Linked DNA regions of Drosophila melanogaster. Changing the gene in region 3 together with the main gene of any one other region gives a genetic interaction. Each region holds a gene or a part of one and is shown on either strand. Other genes may lie near its edges.

The links.
Region 1: of sax (region 3) and fuss, changing one suppresses a phenotype caused by changing the other (phenotypic suppression), as found in Drosophila melanogaster (one study listed by BioGRID).
Region 2: of sax (region 3) and Mad, changing one suppresses a phenotype caused by changing the other (phenotypic suppression), as found in Drosophila melanogaster (2 studies listed by BioGRID).
Region 4: of sax (region 3) and spin, changing one suppresses a phenotype caused by changing the other (phenotypic suppression), as found in Drosophila melanogaster (2 studies listed by BioGRID).

What each region holds. Positions count from the first base shown.
Region 1 is NC_004353.4:975,450-980,057, forward strand, and holds the start of fuss (fussel), read right to left. Parts: upstream 3,041-4,608; 5' UTR 2,758-3,040; intron 1,813-2,757; exon of another isoform or gene 1,317-1,812; intron 587-1,316; exon of another isoform or gene 1-586.
Region 2 is NT_033779.5:3,146,721-3,154,405, forward strand, and holds the start of Mad (mothers against dpp), read right to left. Parts: upstream 6,034-7,685; 5' UTR 5,713-6,033; coding exon 5,709-5,712; intron 2,560-5,708; coding exon 2,084-2,559; intron 2,018-2,083; coding exon 1,327-2,017; intron 1,106-1,326; coding exon 699-1,105; 3' UTR 1-698.
Region 3 is NT_033778.4:7,804,492-7,810,610, reverse strand, and holds sax (saxophone), read right to left. Parts: upstream 4,128-6,119; 5' UTR 4,074-4,127; coding exon 4,013-4,073; exon of another isoform or gene 3,599-4,012; intron 3,540-3,598; coding exon 3,410-3,539; intron 3,296-3,409; coding exon 3,260-3,295; intron 3,043-3,259; coding exon 2,967-3,042; intron 2,904-2,966; coding exon 2,245-2,903; intron 2,102-2,244; coding exon 1,691-2,101; intron 1,630-1,690; coding exon 1,404-1,629; intron 1,342-1,403; coding exon 1,192-1,341; 3' UTR 544-1,191; downstream 1-543. Other genes in the region: TTLL12 (tubulin tyrosine ligase-like 12), read left to right, coding at 1-505; Nop17l (Nop17 like), read left to right, coding at 5,875-6,119.
Region 4 is NT_033778.4:16,123,192-16,127,990, reverse strand, and holds the start of spin (spinster), read right to left. Parts: upstream 3,011-4,799; 5' UTR 2,615-3,010; coding exon 2,209-2,614; intron 1-2,208. Other genes in the region: CG30095 (uncharacterized protein), read right to left, coding at 3,414-3,676, 3,739-3,906, 4,294-4,507. UniProt on the Drosophila melanogaster protein: Probable sphingolipid transporter that plays a central role in endosomes and/or lysosomes storage. Involved in TGF-beta-mediated synaptic growth regulation both pre- and postsynaptically via its function in endosomal storage regulation.

The DNA.
Region 1 (4,608 bases), on a different chromosome or scaffold from region 3:
AGCGTCCACCAGGATGATTACTAGCCGAGAGTACTATTAATGCGAGTTGTTTTGTTTATTCCACTTTAAGATTCCTGTAGTGGTATAAAGTAAGTGCCGGCCCTTCTCCATCTGTAAGTAAGTGTTACAATTTTTGGCATCGGGTGAGTATGTAAGTATGTACATAAATGCATGTGCTTCACACTTGCGACTATGTACATAGGTGCACATGTACATATATTAACAATAAGCTTTGAGTGGAATATTCACCTAATATAATTTATGTGTATGCATTGGTTTTTTCTTGAATGTTCGACATATTCACAAATTTGCTTTACACATTTGCTTAAAGAAATTAAGTAAATAAATAAATTATTAATAAATTAGTGTAATATTTCAAGAAGACCGATGTCCATCAGAGGTTTGATAAGCCTCGCCAGGAGCATTGTCAAAGTCACCTGGGGATGTACCAAACAAGGTTTGTTTTAAATTAACAGTCATGCTTTTTTCTTTTTAGTTAAATTATTGATTAAATAACTATAAAAAGAATGTTGTTGTTCCCAAAAGCGAGATTGGCTCTCCTTTATACTGAGATCGGATCTTCTCTAAGCCGAGATCGGTTCTTCTCGATACCGACTTCTTCTGGACATCGAGAAGACATTCTCATTTCGATAGCTATTTGCACACTGAAAATGTTTCGATCTCGATATGCGTATGCTGAGTACGATTTCATCTTGTCCAAATTTTAGATCGAAATGAGTATATGAGTAACGGCAATAGCAATATTTCGTCACCCGTTGTTTAAAAACAATACAAGAAATAAAAAACTCAGCAAAAAAATACGTTTTTATCACGAATTTTTTTTAATGCTGTAGAGCCCTTGTAATTCCCTAACATCGCAGGTTTAAAAGTTTAAGCAACATTAAACAGCCCCTTTGCAAATATGAAAGAACTAACCCTTTTTATAACAAAAAAATATTTCGTCATATAAATTATAAAAATTGTTTAGAAGTGTGGTCGTGAAAATTTTGGGAGTTTTGTAGGTCAAAGGAGGGGCGTGGCCACAGTGTTTTTGGTATACCGATAAAAATACGCAAGACTAACTCACACTTGTACATATAGTTTGTGAATTGTCGAATATTTATTTTACTTATAAATCTCAAAATTGTGTAAACTTGGAATTTGTTTTTTCTTTTCTTGTATAATTAATATTTTTAATTTCTTTTTTGACTTAAAAATAAATATTGTTTAATTATATTTTATAAAAAATTGCGTTTAATTAAGCAAAGAACCCTTAATTTTTACCTTTAAAATCAAAAATTCAACCTATTTCACAGTGTGTAAAAAGTTTTTTGACAAACTGTACATACTGTCAGTATCGAAGGAACGCGGTGTCATTTGGTGACTATCCAGGTGAGTACAACCCCAAGGTGCACGGGCCCTAAGACCCCGCTCGCTTCTACGGTAAAGCCTGGCTGGGACGCCGCAACAAGACGCCCAACGCTGTGGCCGGAGCCGTGAACCGTGCATGCTGGCGCTGGCAGTACAACTACGTGTTCCCGAAGCGCGCCGTGATCGCTCCCTTCTTCCAGCTGACCGTCGCCAGCATGACGTTCTTCTGTCTGATTAACTACACCAAGTTGAAGCACCACAGGAACTACAATACCACTAAGGGTCGCTGCCCAGTGGTCCTGCATCTACAACAGATTCTACACTTTCCACAAGACGTGCCAGAGGCGGGCAGCACTAAACTATATCTATTTGGCTTTTGTGTTTTGAAAACTGCTAAAGTGAATAAAATGGCTGTGAATATCCATGCTGCCATAGACTCAGAAAATTCGCAAGACAAACAATAAAACAAAGAAAAATCTAAAAAAATTCAAAAGTGTTTGCGTCGCAAACGCGTCTAACGCTTTAGGGCGTTATTGTGGGCGTGGCAACAGGTTTTTTGGCAAATGAATAGAAATACACAAGACTCCTAAAATTACGAAAAAAAATTTCAAAAGCGTGGGCGTGGCATTTTGGGCGGTTTTAAAGTGTGGGAGTAGCAGTTTTGTGTGTGTCGATGTGTCTATGTCTCTGGAAGCTGCATCCTCAATCTCAACATTCTAGCTTTTACAGTTCCTGAGCTCGAGACATTCATACGGACAGACGGACAGGGTCAGATCGACCCGACTCGATCCTGCTTAATATATGGTCGGAAACACTTCCTTTCATACTTTTAACCGAATCTAATATACCCTTTTATCCTACGACTAACGGGTACAAAAATATAAGAATAAATAAAACAATATATATTTTTTTAAATATCACTTTAAACCGATAAGCTCGATTACGTTTTATTTTGAGTTTAGTATACAATTTATAGAACATTTTAGCCAGATAGTATTCAATGTTCTGAAGGAGTATACAACTTACCGATTTACCGTATACAATTTACCGAAGAGTACAATTTACACTTGTTTATGCTATATGGAATATATACGCATTGGTATAGACTTTTTACGACATTTTGCACTGTTTTAAGCGATTGTAAGTATTGATTTTTCGAACTAATGATTTTATTTTCGAAATTTAAAATAACGTTTTGTTGCAGACAGACAGAGAAACCAACCAAAATGTTTATTTCGTCACTATGTGGCCTTATGTCCACATTAAAATTTAAATATTTAGGAAATCCTTAATGATGTGGGGTCAGACGAACTTTTTGTTTTATGAACATTTGTGCGCGTATTTTCTATATTTGTTAGATAAATTTGTTAACACTTGTTGACTTACGTTCAAGTTCCGTTTAGATTCATTTCGCCTTATTAACACAGTTTTTTTTGTGAAGTTTCTTAAATTGTGTGTATTATTTTTGTTTGTTTTAAGATTTCGGTCCACTTTTATAATATATTTGGAACGTATATTTTATATACGTAATATTTCTCATTATTGAAGTTACATCTTATAGTTTGATAAAAGAAAGTATACTCGATTTTAGTTAAAAAATTTAACACAGTAGTTACTTTCTTTGAGGACTAGATTATTCCAACACGAAATAGGTGCGAAAACTGAATATGAAACACCATATTCGTTGGTATTGACATCGTTTAAAGAAAAGCAGCAGGAGTGGGAAACCGATACCGATACCAGATTGTAAAAGTCTAAGAACAAAATAATCCTGCTTATAGCCAATAAGAGACCGAAAGCAAATGATACACCACAGAAGAAGATATATATATATACATACTAGAAAAAATGAGCCAATAAGAATCAACTATCCTAATTTCCAGGGCGTTTCCAAAAGTACGCGCCTGCGCTCTTCTAAATATAATAGTTTGTGGTATCAACCCTGTTTTTGTACAGGTATGTAGCGACAATTGAAATGTTAAATGTTGCTTTCTATTCAATTAACTTCACCAACGAATTTAGGTAACGATAATTGAATTTAATTGGCGAGTTAAAGGATGTGTGTGTAATACATGAGCTCATTCTCACACAATTCATATACAACTGACATTTTATAGCAGTACTTAAGAGTAGGACGGTCAATGTTCTATGTAAAACCGAGATGGAACACTATAGTCAAGTTCGATATTTCAAAATTTTTGTAAAATATCGATCAAATTGAGAAACACTACAACATGAAAATATTTTTTAAAAATTTCAAGTTTGAAATTATTTCAATTTTGGTCCTTCCGTATCTATCGATACGCCAAAACGAATTTTTAACTTTTTCGTTCGTACTCTTACTAACCGAGTATGTGTATCTGTAACAGGTTGAAGGAAGAATTTCCGACCCGAAATATATACATATATATTTTTGATCAGGATTACCAGCCGAGTCGATTTGTCCGCATGAGCCTCGATCGCAGGAATTTTGAATCTAGAAAGTTGAGAGTAAGCATGCAGTTTCCAGATACATACATATATGCAGAGCAAGTTTGTTTCCTGATGTTGTCACGCCAAAAAAGGTAAACGCCTCCGCGCCCACACCTTTGAAATTTGTTTTGAATTTTTTCATCACTTTATTAATCTTGTAAACTTCTATCGATATGCCACGTCCACTCTTACGCCCACAAACCGCCCAAAACTACCACGCCCACACTGTTGAAAAATGTTTTGTTTTTTGTATAGTACTTGATTTGAAAATTTCTATAGATGTACCAAAATCATTTGTGAGTTGCTCATGAACCGCCCAAAATGTCACATATCTGAAAAAATTTTTAATATTATTATTTCTTCCCTATTCAAATTGACATACCAGAAAATTGGTGATATTTTTCGTTCGAACTTCCATTAACAGAGTAACAGGTATCTGGTAGCCCGAGAACTCTACTATGGCGTTCTCAGTTGCTTAATGTGGATTGGCCAGAGCTTTGATGTAAACAGATGTGCCTAGATGGCTGGAAAAATGAAAGCATTTTTCTGTTGATGTTATCTATGTTAAAGCTACGACTCAAACCTAGTAAATTTTACTTGAAAATAATTGACATCTCTATTCCTACACATGTTTTGTTAAATTTTTGTATTATATTATCGATTAGAATTGAGTACTTGTGTAGATTTCAAAACGGGAACTCAAAACAACTGCAAAGTGCGTAATGGCAACACCCAATATGTGTAGAAATAAGGATGGCAACATCG
Region 2 (7,685 bases), on a different chromosome or scaffold from region 3:
TTTGATGTTTTCGATTTGTTTGCAACTTAAAATTAGTTAAACCATATATATATTTAAATCAACTATATTGAACATTGAATTCGTTGATCCAAGGCGAACCGCAAATGAGAAAAATAAAACATAAGCTAGGGCTTCTTCAAAATCATTTTAAGAAATGTATTGCAATAAGTGTTTTCATATCCCTACGTAAGTTACTTGTTCCTTATGTAATTAAAGTTGGTAGGATTAATTCAATGTGTTTTTATATTTAAAGCAGTTTTGCAATGACACATAATTAGCACTTGAAATAGACTTGAACAAGAACTGTTTTGCCAATGGGCATAGATCATTAATATTATAGCATGTAGATCATTGTAAATAGTTATACCATTTTGTAATTGGTTTCTTAGCTCGCTGTCCATTTTCATTACTCTGTTTTAGCGTTAGGAATGACATTCGCATAGAAAATCATACGATAAACTATAAAATATGGGCAAAGGGCGGGTATTGGAGTAGCTGCCGTACATCATCTATATAAATCTGCGACTGAGTGGCATGGACCTCCATCCTCAGGCCTACAGACCTATGCTCTCTCCATTGTCCTGTGTTCTCTACGTCTTTTCACACTTAGCTTTCACTCACACGCACTCATCATTTAGCTACCGGTTTTGTGTTCCTTCTCTTCCGTCTCCATTGAGGACTCGAGCCTCATCTTAAGCTTAGGATACCGAACTAATTGCATTATGCGGAGAGCCCATTTGGGTGAGCACCTTGTCCAGCCACTGGAGCGGCCCGTGCAGATGGATTTCAATCCAACAGGGCGTCGAGGTCACATCCTGGCGATGATACTCCGCACCCCAGCCCTTCACGAACGACATCCGGATCGTGCACATCTTTGTCAGCTCGTAGACGGCCTCGAATCCATTGTTCACCGACTGCGACAGCAGCTGAGCAAATTCCTGATTGTTGAAGATCTTCAGCGAGCAGCCCGGCGGTATTTTGCACACGGTGCTCGGATGGAATCCGTGGTGGTAGTTGCAGTTGCGCGACTGCACGAAAATGGCGGAGTCGGATAGGCATTCGGCGTAGACCTCGCCGGTCACATAGTATAAATGAACACCCTTGCCTGGGGAAGAAGAAACATTTTGAGTTAAAAAGACAGGTAGTTGGATTCTTGAAGTCCATAGCTTTCTACTCTACTCAATGCCTATTTTTATAACTGATAAACACAAGTCGCTTTCTAATTTAAGATTACCAATGTGTAATCTTAGTTATTAACCACTTTAAGATAGTTGCTGATGGGAAATCTCTGTGAGTAAGTTAATTTAAGTGCTAAAATCGACTCACCTATATGACGGCGTGTGTTCTCGATGGTGCTATTCCTGTTCACGTTGCTCAGCTGGCCGAGACAGCAGCGGTCCGAGTTGTTGGAAGGATTCGTGAAACCGTCAACGATCACGGAGTTGTTGTTGCAGTGGAACACCTCGCCCACGCGGCAATTTAGCTCGTAGTAGGCTATCGACGCCCAGAAGGCGGGCTCCGAATAGCTAACCTGGGCAACATCGCCCATCTGAGCATCCAGCAGCTGGCCACCGTCGTTCGGATTGTTGGAGTTGCCATCCTCCGAGGGACTGTAGGCGGGTGGCGGTGTTCCCGCCAAGCTGTCGTACGGCGAATTGGGATTGGAGTTGACGGAACTCGGACTGCCCACCGATGTGTTGCTGGTGCTCAAGCTGTGCGAGTTGAATCCACTGTTCGAGTAGCTCACATTGTGCGGCATACTGGGCTCGGCCACATGGTTGAACTGCAGCATCGAGTGACCGGGCGCGAATTCCGAGTGGCGAGGAACGAGTACTGGCGGGAGCACCGGACTCTCCACGCGCTTATAGTGATACGGATTGATGCACACCTCCTTCTGCTTGGCGCTGAACGGATACTGGCACAGCTCGAGTGGCTTCAGTTCGTGGTGCGACTGCAGATCTGGCCAGCGCCACACGCGGCAGTAGATCACATGCGGCAGACCCTTGCGATGGGAGACCTGATATTCGGAAATAGGAGTTAATAATCATCTGTTACTTAGCTGGCCATGTGGCTTGTGACCCACCTGTAATCGTCCGTCCAGCGAGCGTGGAATGGTGACACACTTCGAGGGCTGACCGGGACAGGAGAGCGCACGCTCCAGCTCCTCGATGGCGCCCTTGCGCTTCTTCAACTTCTTCACCAGACTGTCGACGGCCTTCTCCGCCCACTTCTCCTCTTCGTCACCCTGTTTCCAGCCCAGCAGCTTCTTCACCGCCGGCGATGTGAAGGAGAATAGCGAGCCCAGTGTGGACATCGCGCTGCTTGTGTTCGATTCCACATCGTCGGTGTCCATTCTGTTGCTGCTGCCGCTGATTGCTGTCGTCAAATTGAGGTTGTTGCTGCTGCCACTGCTGCAGATGTGGTTATTGTTATTGTTGATGTGGTGGATGTTGTTGTTGTTGCTGCTGCCGCTGCTGATGGTGGTGGTGGTGGTGGTGCCGCCGTTGATTTGGGGTGGAGTCACCCGATAACCGGTATAACTATCAGCGGGCGGATAGTCTGTGAAAAGAGCAAGTAAAAAGCAAATATAAATAATAAATACAAATAGAATTGCAGGCATTCATCATCGAGCTTAGATTGTCTCAGCAACGCCCACAACACAACGCATGCAAAATTCGAATGCACTGAGAGAAATGTTATAGAAAACTTTGCATCTAATTCAAGCAAATGTTTATACGTAACAAAAGGGGAAGTCAGCAACTTATGTGACCCTTTTTCTTCGAGTGTCTTTACCCGCTTGGCCAAGTGCCCAGCAGAAATTGGAGGAGGAGTGAGTATCCATGGGGCCTGGCAGTGCATCGTGTTTCTGGCTAGTGAATGAAGTCGTTGGGAGGTTCCTGTCATGAACGGACTCCTCCCACTTTCAATGTTGGCGGCCAATTGCATGCAAATTGCCTGCAACATTTTCTCATTGAGAATAATGGCCATTATTGCTTCACTTAACCAACTAGCTGATTAATCGAATCTCGATTTCGTTGGAAACTTATTTTTATCTATTAAATATGGTTATTGTTCGTATTCAATCGCAGCTGACGTCAATTGTGAAACGATTCTATTGTAAGGGGGGTATTTTTGAGGTCTGACAGTTCTTTGAATTCCAAAAAACCACAAAGGTTGCGAACGAAAAGAGTTCGCACTTTTCAACGTTATAAATAGTATTAGTTTTCGAACACAACAATTCTGCAAAAATATATGAATAATAGGTAAATTTATGAAGCACAGATAATAGTTTCATGTGCTGGTTTTCGGGCTGCCTTATCGATTCTTAGAAAATTGGCATTAAGAAATTGGTTTATCAACAGAAAAAACTAAACTATAGCAATAAAAACCCACTGTCTTCATTCTATTTAGTTAGGCTCCACTGTACTGCAGTAATATTCGAGTCGAGTGGCGAGAACTGCATCTCATAATGAGCGCAAATGATAACCAAATGGTGTTCGACTTGTCAGCGCCACAATTGTGGGTATTCCCCCCTGTTTTCTACGCCCCCCCCCCTCCATACTTTTCCCCACCAAAGACAACAATTCCATTTGAATTATGACATTTCAATGTTAACAGCATTTCTGAGGAACTTCTCTCCGTTGGCCAAGTGGCTGCGCTCCAGTTGGCTGTCTTAGCCTCAATCTCGTTGCTTTACTCAAGGTGTCAAAAAATGTTTGATTAAATTTAAAAGTGACAAAACCTAATTGAATGAAAATTTGTAGTAGCAATTAATTTGTGCAAGCTGGAGCAAAAATCGGCGAGCCACACAAGGCGAACTTGCTAGGCGAACCACCCATTTTTGTGGCAAGCAAACGGGCTGGTAAATCCAATTTCAAAAGCAATTAAATGCCGGCGATAAATCAACAAGTGCAGCACTTGGACAACAAGAAAACACCTCTCGATTGGGCTCCCGACAGACCAAATGGCGCATATTTCTGGCCAAATTAGCCGTTGCGTGAATTAATTTCGATTTTCTCGCTCAACTCGGGCCTAAAAATTTTGGGGCGTTGCCGTTTTCTTTTTTTTTTCGCAGCATTGACAATTTTATGTTGTCGCCCATGGAAGGGGGCGTGGTCAACGAGGACCAGTGGTTGGGGGCAGTCACTTTTCTAATTGCCCAAAGTCAACCAGAGCCTCCGGCGGTAGATATATTGCTCTAAGAATGCTCTAACTTTATCACTAGCCTACAAGAATATATTGAAATTAATGATAAGTCACACAACCATTTTGATTACCAAAACTAGCTTAAAAACCTCTTCCAAAAGATTAGGATTACGAACAAACAATCGGTACCTTATCGAAAATGGTACACCTTTGCTTATAACTAATCCCAAAATTAAACATACAGTGGAGTACCAGTTCACATGGTCTCTCCTTCTCAGTAACTCAGGATACAAACGGAGTGACACTTGGCGGACAGACTTATCGAGGGGGTTAGTGGAGATAGAGAACTCTACCCTACGTATTTACCCAGCTGACTAGTGTCGTGTGTTTTTAGGTGGCAATGGTGCTCTAGTGGAATTCGATTGATTTGAGTGGGGCAGGCATACAAATTTCGATAATGCCCCCGTTTTGTTTGTGCAAAGCTCGATTGCAGGTGAGGTTTTCGACATAATCAGTCGGTTTTCAAAAGGGGAAACTACCCCATTAATTCGCAGGAATTACATAAAAACTTTATTTACACGATCATAACAACATATTCAACATATTTATGATGTTTATTCGGAGATTTGATGGTTTTCCAAACAACAAAGTGGCTTTCTTTAGGCACTTAAACGATTTTCTTGTTTTGTCTCTCAATGCATCTCGAGTTGAACGATACTAAATATAAATATAATAAGTCCTTTATGATCCATTATCATATGGGACATTCCCCATATCAATTAAAGATCAATAATCGTAATTCGCAATTACATATTACCCGAGCTGAGATCACGTACCCAACGTACCCGCCCAAAGTGGCCCAGTCTTCTTTCTGCTTTCAAGAAAACCACACTCGAAGGAAAGTTCTTCATTGCTTTCAAAGCAAATTCAATTGATGGTTCTTGGTTTAAAGTGAATCTACTTTTAGTCTTATATTTAGAGTAACTAAATTGAAGAATTGCATTTCAAATCGGCTGTGTACATTCTTCTGGTTAGTGATTCCATTGTGAGTTTCTTTTCAGTGCATCGCTAGTCAGGGATCATAACTCAACTGGAGAAACGGAGGAGCGAGGATATCGAGGCACTTTTATGGCAGGCACGCATTCGCGCATGCGTATCATACCATTCCAATCGATAATCAATCATAAATGCGGCAGTGACAATAAGGCGTAAATCATGGGAGCCAGGTAGAAGTAGAAATCAAGGTGGATGGATGGCAAGTACACAAGTACAGAAGTACAGAAGCACTTCCGCTGCCATTGAAAGCGGGCAAAAAGCGTGGTAAAGGGTACTACGACTAGTGCCACAAAAATAACAACAAAACAACAAGAAAAAAACGAACAGACAGAGAAAATAGGGACTTGGACCCATGTTTAAAAATAAACAAACAATGCACACACAAAAACGCAGCGCGATAAAGACCAAAACCAAACAGGCCAAAGTTTCGATTTGATGCGAGGAGGAAAACTCAAAAATCGAGCAACTCGAGGCAAACGAGAACTATGTACGAACTAAGAACCTACACATGATGATGTTGAGATTGCAGATATTATTTTATTTATTTTTATTGCACGCACAAACACACACACACACACGGACAAGAATTCAGCATCAAAATGTTATTTTATTCGTATGCAAATCGCAAACGCGACCCTCCACGACGATCGGGCATCCAATCCAGTCGCCTCAGCAGTTACATTTCCGCTGCGAGTCTTCAATTCAATCGTTATCACCGTAATAACTTCATTTATTTAAGCCTTTTGCCGTATTATTTTTTATTTTCGCCGTAAATTACGCAAAGTGGAAATGGCAGCGAGCGCGAATCAGAAGTCAACTGCACGACACGACCGATCGACAACGAATGCCGAACGGGTTGCCCAGCAAACTGAGTGCGCCGAGTGTTGATTGACTGACTGACTGACTGACTGACTGACGAACTGACTGACTGAGTGAGTGACGAACTGAACGCAGCCCAAACTGCATTCGTATTGTGTATCGGTGTGAGTTCGCCAGGGATGCGAAGCAGCAGGTCCATCCTAAAGTATCTAAAGGTAACACAAACTACTTTCTACAGTTATTAATAAGTTTAAGACTGGAAAATTGAGTTATTATATTCCATTTTCTTAATATTTATCTATTTAGTAATGTACTTATTGTAGCCCTAAGAGAGTATAAATCTAGTGTATGTATCCCTATTGAATCCCTTCTTTATCACCAGCTAGTCCGCAGCCCTGATTTCTGAAGACCTCTGAGTGACGTATTCGTATTCGTATTCCTGTGCTCGTAATTGGTTTCAGTGTGCGTTTGGGGCAGCCAAGTGCACACCACTACACCCATACAGGCAACGAAAGTTTTGTTTTAAACAAATCAAATGCCCTATCTGCAGTTGGGGGCGCCAGCACGTGAGCGCGAACGTGTTTGTGTGCAGCAGATCACACGGCGAGAAAAATATGCAACATTTGTATTTCAAATAACAATGTTACTTGAAGAACTAAGATTTAACATTTGAGTACTCTTTTACTTAACTCTTTTTCGAATTAAATAGACATTGCTGTTTTTAGATGCACACTAATTTGTTTGCAGTGCATGGCCTTTGGTGGTGTTGGAGGTGGCGTCAACCCACAGCCACAATCAAACTGTAAACACCCCACCGCAACCACAACAAAAATGAAGGGAACGTAGTTTCAGGGGAGGAGTTTAAGAGAAGGCAGCGTCAACGAATTTTTTCGTGCGTGGGACCGGCGAGTAATTGAACCTAAAATTCGATGAAGCCCTCCTTCGGCAGAGTGTTTTCGGTACGAAAATAAGCGGAAACAAATCGAAATTCTATTCGCAAATGCACTGCCAATTTTTTTTAATGGGTAAAGCAACGAAACTAAAGTTTTTTCGTTACGAAATCTTTTGAATTGAAGTCAAGCGAACCTATTTTCTTGGCCCGGACTGTACGTGTGCTTAGAATGCGAGCATGTTTATGTGCGATCGCTCCTCCCTCCCTTCGCTTTTATTGCGTGTTTAACACTACTAAACGCGAACTTATTGCAAACATGGGTAGCATTATACAGTCGCAGTAAAATCGAAATAGTAATGAAGCGCACTCTCCTCGAAAGCAGAAGTGAAAACGACGAAAAATAACAAAATAATTATGTAGTCCCTTTGGAACAATAAAAATTTATGCACGCAAATTGCACAAAAGCGGAAAACTCAAAACACACACGTGCCGAAGTGCAAACGTCAAGGGGCAAAAATGCGCAGGCACGGCAGAAAATCCTTTTTTAAGTAAATTAACTCAATTCTAATTGCAAATAATTGCCGCGATAATTGCAGGGGGCCACGCAGAGGCTTTGTGTCATGTGAGTAATTGAGCTGTCAACACGGGGACACCACCGCTTTTCCGCAAAAATGAAAAAAATTGCCAGTCGGTGGTGGGTGGTCTACACTACTTTCAAATAAATAGCTTTCAGTTCCATCTTGATTTGAAATAATTTCAATGTTTATGAACA
Region 3 (6,119 bases):
AAGCGTCAAACCCCTGAAGGCATATATACACCGGAAGTTCTTCCTGCGTTTCGCAAACCATCCCTTCACGCTGGATCACTTCGATGACTACGAGAAACACTACACGGTGATGAACTACCAGACGGAGGCGCAGCTGCATCACGTCAAGTGCGACGACTTCCTGACGCTCTGGCAGGAACAGTATCCGGATAACGATTGGTCGGCTCTGGAGCAGCAGATCTGTAGCATGCTGCTCGAGGTGCTTCAGTGCGCCAGTCAAGCAGATCCACCCTGCGGCCTGGCTCCTTGTGCCCAATCACGAGCTCTTTACGCAGCCGACATCATGCTGCGGTGGAAGGACGATAAGGAGAAGTTGATGGAGCCCCAGTTGCTGGAAATCAACTGGACTCCGGACTGCAAACGCGCATGCGACTACTATCCCGACTTCTTCAACGACATCTTCCGTCTGCTCTTCCTAGACGAAGAAAACGACGATAGCTTCCGGGTACTGACGCCAGACAATTGACATTAACCGAGCAAATAAACCCAGTTATCCCAAAGTTTAATGCCTATTCGTGTATTTCATTTCGTTTAGACTATACAAAACTTAAATAGCTTGCCATTTGTACAATATACAAGTAGGTGTGTATGCTTCTATGCGTGGGTATCTAAGTCCTAAAGGCTTAACTAACTAAGATAGCAAGTCAGTTGGTGGTGTGGCTTATGGTTTTATCATAGCATGGACAAGTTCTAGAGTTATGAATTTAGTGTAAAGTTCAAAGAGTGAGCTTAAAGTTAAGGCGTTTACAATTCTCAATTGCAAATGGCACTTGATGAACAATGAATAATGGTAAATAGTGAAATGACAACTTTACAGGATGATATCCCAAGAACATACATTAGAGTCGATGCTAACTTTAACTTAAGGCAATTTCAAAGGCACCCTTTTCAGGCTAGGCTCACGGTGGAACGGAAACGATAAAGTCAATCCAAACATAAAGTAAATATGTTAAAGTCTTCTATATAACTATAAGCTCCCAAGGGTCTTGTACTTGGATTAGTTTGCTTCAACACGCAGGATCTTGGCTTAGCTTTGAATAATATACCTACGAACTAATAGTGTGAAATGCAGGGTATGTCAATGAATGAATCTTAGACTACCTATGTGGTACAACTAAATTACCGCTTACAGCTAAGGCTCGACTACTACCACTAAACGCAGACCTCGTCGAAGTCCAGGCGTATCTTCTCGTCAGCGGAAGCCAGCTTATGTATAGTCTTTTTGATGCGCAGCGCTGGCAAGCGCACGTCGGGGTTTTGGTGCCAGCACTCCTTCATGAGCTTGGACATGCCAGTCATTAACTAAAAAATGAGAACAACAATGAGATCAAAGATCTAGAGAATGGCAATCGAAAGCGACTTACCGAATCCGAGCTCCAGCGATTGGGAATGGAGGGCCTGTAGTTGTCGATGCAGACCACCTTGCGCATATCCTCGAAGCTGGGATCCATTGGCACCACATCGTAGAAGGGCACCTTGTACTCCTCTGCTATGCCGCAAGAAATGGTGCGGCGACAAACCTCCCAGAGGACAAGTCCAAATGCGTAAATATCTGTCCGGCGTAGTGCTTCGAAGCATTCTAAATCAATGCTACAATAGACAAATTGTTAATGTAAAAATATTCTTTTTTGTACTGCCAATAAGCACACACCTTTCATCAAGAACCTCTGGGGCCATGTAGCGCTTGGTGCCCACTTTGGGGTTGTTGCCCAGGTCCAGTTGTCCTGTGACGTGCGAATGGGTAACGGCCAGTCCAAAATCGGCTATCACGCAGGAGCCGTTCGAGGTGACCAGTATATTCTTTGACTTCAAATCGCGGTGGGCCATAGCTGGCTTGCCTTGCTTGCCGAATATCTCTGTGTGCAAGTGTACCAGCCCATTAGCTATGGACAGGCAAATCCATACCATATCGTTGTGGCTTAGGGCGTTACGGTTTAGGTGATCAAAGAGCGAGCCCAGTGGATAGTAGTGCGTCATCAGCCAAAGTTGGGTGCACGAGTTCCGCGACGTCATGTCAGAGCCGATGAATCCCAGAATATTTTCATGTCGTAGCAATATGGTGCTGAAAAACAAAGAACGATTATTTATGATTCATAGAGCAACAGGTAGGTAGTCATGACTGGACTAGGGCACTTTTCTTCTGGGGAAACAGTTAAAAATTTCTACAGCTACAAATTACAGAGTCACAAATAATCTGTTGCTCACCTATATATCTCTGTCTCCCGCTTCCAGGACTCCTCGTCGCGACTGAAGAATATCTTCACGGCGATGCTTTCGCCATGCCAGTGACCGCGCCAAACCTCGCCGTATTTGCCTCGTCCAATGCACTCGATCAGGGTGACCTGTTTGGCTAGCGTACGCTGCACTAGCAGCGGCAATCCGCTGCCCGAGCCGGAGGTCACCGAGTGCTGCAGATACTCCCTCAGCGTACTGTCCCCGGCGCTGGTGGCGCGGAGCAGCTCATCATTGACCAGATACGCTTCCGGGTCCTGTTTGGTTCGCGAGGCAGCCAGACGCTTGCGATGGCTACGACGAATGAAGAAGATGGTCACGGCGCCCAGCAGAGCGATGACCAGAAAAGGACCCAGAACGGCGACGAGCATCTTGCTTATGCTACTGGTATCCGCGGTTATCACCGTCACATCATTGCTGTCGAAGGGCAGCAGTTCCGGAAAGTCTCCCTCATTGCAGTAATCACCGGCACAGCAGACCACATTCACGAACTTCCCCGTATTGCGTTTACTGGGCCCGTTGATCTTCAAGGAGTTCTGGCTGCAGATCATGGGCAGTTGATCCGGCGAGGTGCTGCAGCCGCGTGACTCCTGCACCTGACCATCGGCATCGCGTGTGCGCGACTTCCAGCACTGTTGAAGTTCGGAAATTAAGTTACATTTAAGTTTTAATCAAGTTTAAGGTGGAGTATTCACCTGAATCGCATTCTGGCAGGTGTGGGTAAACTCATAGGGATCCCGACAGGGCGGCTCGCAGGAGTAGCATTTGTATCTGATAAAAAAAAGAGAGAGTTTAATAAGATTGAAGAAGAATCGGTTACGCAAACGGGCAGCTTTTAATTGTTAACATTTGGGTATAAAAGTATAATATACTATAAAATATTTAAAAAAAATGGGGTTTTTTAAGTAAAATTATGAATATTTTCAAAATTTTAACTAAAAGTTAACCAGTTTATGATGTTTTAGTTCATGAGTCGTGTAGGTTTTACCTTCTCTTCATGCGGCGCTTACTCTTAATGTGTCTCCTAATTAAGGATTAGCAGCATGGCAATTAGGAGGGAAATGAGATTAGCAATACAAAGCCTTTGGGCGGAAGCGGGAGCTACAAGCTATGGGCTCAAGACTTAAGATATAATCACCTGGGATGCGTCTGCACCGAGTTCTGTGGCACGGCCGGTAGCTCCTTGCCATTGAGATGGGCGGATGAGGCGGAGGAGAGCTCCATGTCTAAGTCCGGTATGTCCTCCCGCAGATGATCGCTGATTTCGGCTGAAACATAACAAATGCACATTAAACCATATGCACATAGCATATACATATGTACACACATGGACGGCCCAACCAACACAAACGCCACCAGCACTAACACACACACACACATGCACACAGGCGCCCCAGCAAGTTCTGTATACACACACAGAACGGTGGTGTGCGTGGGTAAATCATTGAGAAAATGCACTTATGCTGCAAACGCCCACGACATCCGTTTATATAATACATTCTGTGGGATCCATCAGGTGCTTCTTTCACCAATCAGCATTCCGAGGGCACTTTTTTCGCCTTGGCCTGGCCAAATACGCAACGCAATTGGCCAGAACCGCAGCATATGAAAACAAACCCAAAACACTCAGTGACTTTTCAAGGCATTATATGTGGCTCTAAAACCCCATAAAATCGAAATTTCTCTTGCGCACTCTCTTCACCAAGCACTTGGTAATTGATTAACACTAATTGATGCCCACCTCTGGCATTATTGTACAGCAGAAACGTCAATAGAAAAACTAAATATATATTGGACTCCATTGCTAGAAATGTTATTTGTCCGAGCCTATCGGAACCTATCGATATACTTCTAGCGGGCAGTGTGACCAGGGCCCACATCTGCACATAACATATTTCACATAAAATACCGGGTCTTCAAATTTCCCAAATCCCCTGCGTAAAAATACCAAAGCACAACACGCACACCAACACGAGCAGCCGGTCAGCGGAAAAGTTTCTAGAACGTCAAACTCGAACTCCCATCAAAGAGTCTTTGGCAAAGGAGCCCATTTAACAGACAATTATTTTATTCAGTGCCGTTGTGTTCACAAAGCATAATTGTGTTCAATTTAGGTAAGTGGAGAAGCAGGAGATCTTCAGTGGAGGAGTTTTCGTGCCATTAAGTTGTTTTCCTGAGTGAAATTAACGGATTTACCTACCCGGTGTCATGGAATATAACAAAACATTTGCTTAGTTAGGGTTTTCATGTCCACTGCGACCGGTTTGTCCAGAAAATCAATGGGTTTCAGCTAGTATCGATCAAACGACAGAGTTTTCCCCCTCCCACAGCGCAAACATGTGTTTTTAGTCACGTAACTGTTATAATTTTCCTCGTTTTCCTTGCAATGGAGAAGATACACACGCCGTAGGGAATCATCTTACTGACCCCCCAATTACCACCCCCGCCCTCCTGCACATATATGTATGTACATAAGTTTGTAATATCAGTTGGCAGACGCAATACAAACATTATCTTTGTATATACATACATATGTGTGTAGAGATGTGGTCGTTTATTGTACAATTAGTTGGGTTGCGCCAGAAATCGCATAATGTGTGTGTGAGCGCAGGGGCTGCGGGGGCAGAATCCCGCTAAACAAAAACAATTGGGGCAAGTGGTTTTTTTCGCGCTTATCAAAAGCCCCTCACTGCGCAGAGGACGCTCTCTCTGTGGGCCGCTCGACTCGCAAAGAGCCTCCAATATTTGCCGGCGTTTCGGGCGTAGCGCTCCCATTCTCATAAAAACGCTCGTCGGGAAAGCATCGCACCAAAACTCGAAAAAAAAAACAGAAAACATTTACGCGTTCTCCTAGAATTTCACAAACTACGCAGTTCGTTTATTTATTTATTGGCCGACAAGTAAAAAAAAAACTCGTGGTCAGTTTGTAGTCATCTACACACATGTGTATCTACTTACATAATGCCCGTAAATCCGGCGGATAGCCGGTGATTTTCGACAGCGACCTTTCTGCGTCATTGATTTAATATTTATTTGCCTATCTGCTGATTAGAATTTGATTAAATGCCAGCTCGGTGTTTTTTTTTGGCTGCGAAATGGTCAGGACCTAGGGCAACCTTGGGACCTGGTACTTACTTGGCTTATCTCAGATTCGATTGGAAAGTTTCCAGAGTTTCGCCAGGTTCCGCAAGATTTAGTCATGCCCTCAAGGTTTATTTGCAAAACTATAAAATAGCCAGGTATACATAGAACTTACATATGTATAGCCGAAACAGAAAAACTAGTAATTTTTCCCAAACGACTTGTCTTGTTGTTATTGCAGTTATACATTCGTAATATAAGATAGCTGATTATCTTACAAGATTGTCCGTACTTACATCTATGTTTATTTGTACTTTCAGAACCTTCCAGAAATAGAAACCCAACGCATTTGCCAAGGAAACGTGGCCCAAAACTGAGCAACCCCTAACAAATAGAAACAAACAAAAAATCAAAACCCGTCGAAGTGATAAGAAAATTTGTATTTGTGTAGTAAAAGTGCCGAGGAGAGAAGAGGAGACCGAAGAGATCCCTCCGTGAGTGAAGTGTGCCTGCGAGAAAGCTATGTCCGCATCTAGATCGCGTAATAAACAATCCAAACTTTGTGACGATGAGCGGCTCGATATAAGCAGGGACGAGTTCAACCGATTCCAGGAGGCCTTTGGCAAGGAGGAGTTCCGCAAGCTCTTCTTCGACTACGTGGATGAGATCCAGGATCCTGAGAACCGCAAGATCTACGAGTCAGAGATCACGCAGCTGGAGAAGGAGCGTGGCGTGGAGGTGAGGTTCATCCACCCGAAGCCGGGATT
Region 4 (4,799 bases), 8.3 Mb from region 3:
TTGCGATGATCAAAGTTCGCTGTCGGTGCAGAAATTGAATTTACTGTCAACAACAGAATAGCCCCGCCCCCCCCTTCCCATCCACCCTCACACAGATCACGATCATGAATGAAGAGGGGGGCTTCCCAGTGTTTTTTTTTTTTTTTTGACCGAACGAGGTGGTTACAAAACATCACACCACTACCGTCAGTCGGTCGGTTTTAGCTTAAAAAACCAGGCGAATTTCAGCAAAGTCGGAGGTCGAAGCCAAAGGCCGAGACGCACTTAAAATTATAATTAAATGCATTCCATTAGGTTGGGCAGACATCAGCTGATACACACGTCTATGTGCGCCAAATAAATATATGCATATGTATGCATGTATTTTTGCTTGTTATATACAACCACACGGAAACGTTGCAAATGCCGAAATTCACATTAAATACAAAAGGGCCAAGCAATCAGAGCAGTCAGTTAGCAGAAGCTAAACAAATAATCGCTTGGTAATCTAATCACTGCAAAAAAGTGACCCAAAACACCACGTGCACTGCAGCTGGTGATCCAATGCAATTGATTATGCAGCGCGTCTGGTTTCAGCCACTTCTTGATAAGGCCCAAAAAAGTGGGGGGGGGGTTGATAATGATAACAATGCCACTGGCAGAAATGGCAAAACAAAAACCTTGTGCGACCGACCATTGTTTATATGAGTTTTCTATTTCGCCTTGCGCTCGCAGAATTCTCAAAATAAACAATCAATTAGGCGCCCATGGAAATAATGAAAATTTCCGAGTGGCGAGTAGCGATGTGTGTTTATATTAAATATAATATGTAAACAGCGATTTTGTTTGGCTCGGTATGTAAGTGCTATCGCCCCTTTTCGGTGAGTAATTCCACTTCCTGTTCTGTTGCAAAAAGTCGTATGATGTTTTTTTAGTCACTCGATCCGGTGGCTTTACACGAATCAAAAGCTTATGATTTGCAACCGAAAAAAAAGGGTTGTAAGATCGATTTCCAATTGCCGCTGCGGCAATCAACTGATAACTAATAGCCAGTGATTTATAATTGCAAATTAATTGCAACTACACATACAGTAAAAGACGTTATCACATGGCCTTGAGTGGAAAAGTTCTGCTGACTCAGGAAGAACTGGCTGTTCAGGTTCACGAAGAAAATGCGAAACTATAGCTATAATATACACATATTTAGAAATGCATATTAAACGGTCGTCTGAGGCGGACTTGTACGTATAATAATCAGTCACAACTTGTTTCGCCATGTAACCTGAAACAAGTTTCCAATCGATTTGCACCGCGTTTTGTGTAACTAAGATGTCGCCAGTCGAAGTGCAAGTGCAATCGGTAGTAGTCTCATTTTCCAGACACAAGTAAACAGTGAAAAGAACTTCGGCACTCAACAAGTGTCCAATGAAATGCCGCCCGCATGAATTAAGATCAATTTCCTTCGCTAATGTTCTTAATAATAATAAACTCAACAATTATGTGGGCAGTGTGTCTGTATTTATCGACTGAAACATGAGATTACCCTGTAATTGTCACGCGGGCGGGGGACTTTCTGATCGCCGATCGCAACTACCATTACCCGCCGTGCTAAGCAGGTCAGGTGCCGCCACCGCCGTGCTCACTCACTCCATTTTATCGCACCTGAGTGCTAGAAATAATATACATATGTTTAGGTTTAGGCGAAATGGGTCTTGATTGATTGCCCACCCAGTGGAAATGTCCCGAGTTTCGGTGCAAAGCGAATCGAATGATAAAATGCTCTGTATGAATATTTTTGGATCGCGTGATTCACTTGTAAGTAGATTAGTCACTAATCAAATTCTCTCGCTCGCAATCTTTATGGTACATTTTGTAAACAATGGGAACGCGACGACTCGCATTGTCGACGATGAGGTATAAATTTCAACTGATTAGGTCACAAGTATTGTTGATTAGCGGCTGCTAATTAATAACATTATGATTTTGTCAGCAGATTTTGTGCAATTTAAATGTTTTTATTATTCTTTTGCCTGATATATAAATGAATACATACTATAAGTGCTTTGGGCTGCCCAATCTTTTGGTCACACAAAAGTTGTGATTTTTACAGCGGTCTATAGCAATCTTCTTCAATAGTGTCAACAAATTTTCCTATCTACTGCGGCAACAAGCCCCCCAAAAAACGTATGGAATCCCATAGGACACCCAAAGAGGTATCACCGGACTCACCTGCGATCGTAAAGCGATCCATGTAGTTGATGAGGTTGACGAAGCATAGCACGGTAACGGTGAACCACTGCGATCTGCCCACGCTGGAGAGACGCGATGGCACGACGGCGGATGGTGGTATGCCCGGGATGTGGTGGTGCTCGCCCAGTGGGTGGTGGTGATGGTGGTGGGGACGCAGTCGGTGCCGCTCCTCCTCCATGCTGTCCGTATCCGAGGGCATCAATTGCTGTGACGAGTAGGTCGTAGGCAGTCCGAGCGGCGATAGATTGGCCACATCCTCACGACTCCCGCCCTCCTCAGAGGAGCTGCTCCCACTGCTACCGCTGCTCTGGATCATCGCCGGATTGTCCATGGCGGCCGCCGTTGGGAGCGGTTGGTAGGATTGCTTCTGGTGTTTCAGCGACATTCACCCGATCACTCGATCCTCTCTTCTCTTCTCGCGCTCTCGCTGTCCTCTTTCGGTTGGAAATTCGCAGCAGGCGGACAACGCGGCAAAAAGTTATTTGCACACGCTCTTTGCTCACGCACACAGAGAAACGGGAACTCGCGATGAAAGCGGTTCAAAAGCGAATGCAAAAGAATTTGCTCTTGGGCTGTTGGCACACCACCGCGCTTCTCTTTTATAACACTTTTGCCAATTTGTATGGCTAATTCGACTGTGTACTGAGACACTTCCTCTAATCGCGGTTGTTCTTTAAATGCAGCCAATGCATTTGCAGTGCTTCTCGCTGTTTTTCTTTCTTGTTTCTTCCGCGACGCGAACACTGTTGCCTTTCCAACTGGAGTAAGTGCAATAAGTGTGACCGTCCGGCGACCGCGAATATATACCAGAATCCAATTGGCGATGACAATTTCGATAGTACTATCGATAAACTAAGACCAGCTGCATATCTATCGACTAATATCGGTATAGCTATGCCTATCGATAAAAAACATTTAAAGCAATTTTTAATAAATATTTTTACATTTAATACAAAAACATGAACAAGAATCTATATTAACAAGCTAAGTTGCGCTCTGTTAATTAAAGAATTTTTATTTTGCCATAATATTCTGAGCATTACAGATAGTGTACCACTTATCTCTAGAAAACTGTTGACAACCGAATTTGAATTCAAATTTAAGCGATGATTTTTTGGTTATGATTGTGATGATTAAAATCTAAGTGCGTTACGAAGGTATATGCGAATGAAAAAGAACGATTTCTATTCAATATCCATATCATCTACGCGCCCGCGAACGCGATTCTTGCGCTTGTGTTTTTTAGTGGGCGGTGGCAGGAAACTCTCAAGAAACTCAATGGTATTCAAAATCGTTTCCGAACTGACGTTTCCAATGTAGTTCTTGTCGAAGTAGACGACCGGTACAGGTGGCTCCGTTGAGAGCAACAATTTGTCACAATTACAACGCTGTCCCTGAATTTTTGCATCGAGCGTTTCCACTTCAACATCTGTGTTATTTGATTTGTCTGGAAAGAGGTGCCTAAATAGGTCAATCTATGTCTGAACTCCATAAAGAGTTGCCACCCACCGAATAAGGGACGAAAGCACTCCTTCACCTGAATCCACTTGGTGCAAAACTGTTTGATGAAACTGTCGTTCTGATTGAAGAAACTGCGAGCTGCATTGTCAACCCGGTATTTCATGAATCCAGGCACATATGGCCATTTGCCCTTCGCGGCATAAAAGCATATGATGTCTGAAATGTAAAAATTTAAGCGATTTGTAATTCTGCTAGCCTTAATAAAAGTATTCATATGCTTGAGGAGATAAAAATTTAAATATTTTAGTTGCTAAAGAAGTTTATTCATTGTTTCCTTGCGACATATGATAAATTGTGAAAAAGTATAGCATACTTTTAGGCTTAGCCGTATTCGTCTCTTAAAATGATTTCAATGCGTTGTGGATGTCTTTTAAACTGAAAAGAACTATTGTAAATTGGGAAGATATCACACAGAAACCTATGTTCTAATCCTTGTTCAAAATACAGAGATCTTGATCTAGAACATTCTAGTTAAATGTGGAAAAACTATGGCCCATTCTTGTATATAACACTTTCGATTGCGAAATAGATTGCTTAACTTACAGGGCACATGGAAGAGATGAAGAAAAGTGCGCTGATGCTCCAGACTGGAGATGAGATGAATACCGCTGGACCGCCGATTGGCCAGGGCCTTTCTTCCGGCAAAGGGAATCTCATCCACGCGGACACTCTTCAGATATGCCTCGCCCATGGTGAATAGAAATATGGCTAAAAATAGGGGCAGAATATGCAGAGCGATTTTCCGACGCAGCTCCATTGTCGAACTTTCCACTAGCCAGCAATAAATGTGACTGACGAATGTCCTGCAGGAATTGTCAGACACCTGAATGATTTCACTGCGCTCTCTATTGATTTTAATTGTGCTCGAGGTTGACATAAATCCAGGCAATAGGGATACATTGCATGTGCTAACCCAATTTGCCAGCCACAAAAAGTTCATTGCACTCAAAGTTACATTTGTGGAATATACATGACAACAAACATCATACATACAACAAAAATTAAGTCACAGGAAATGCAGTATGCAAATCATGAGTCATTAGCTAATA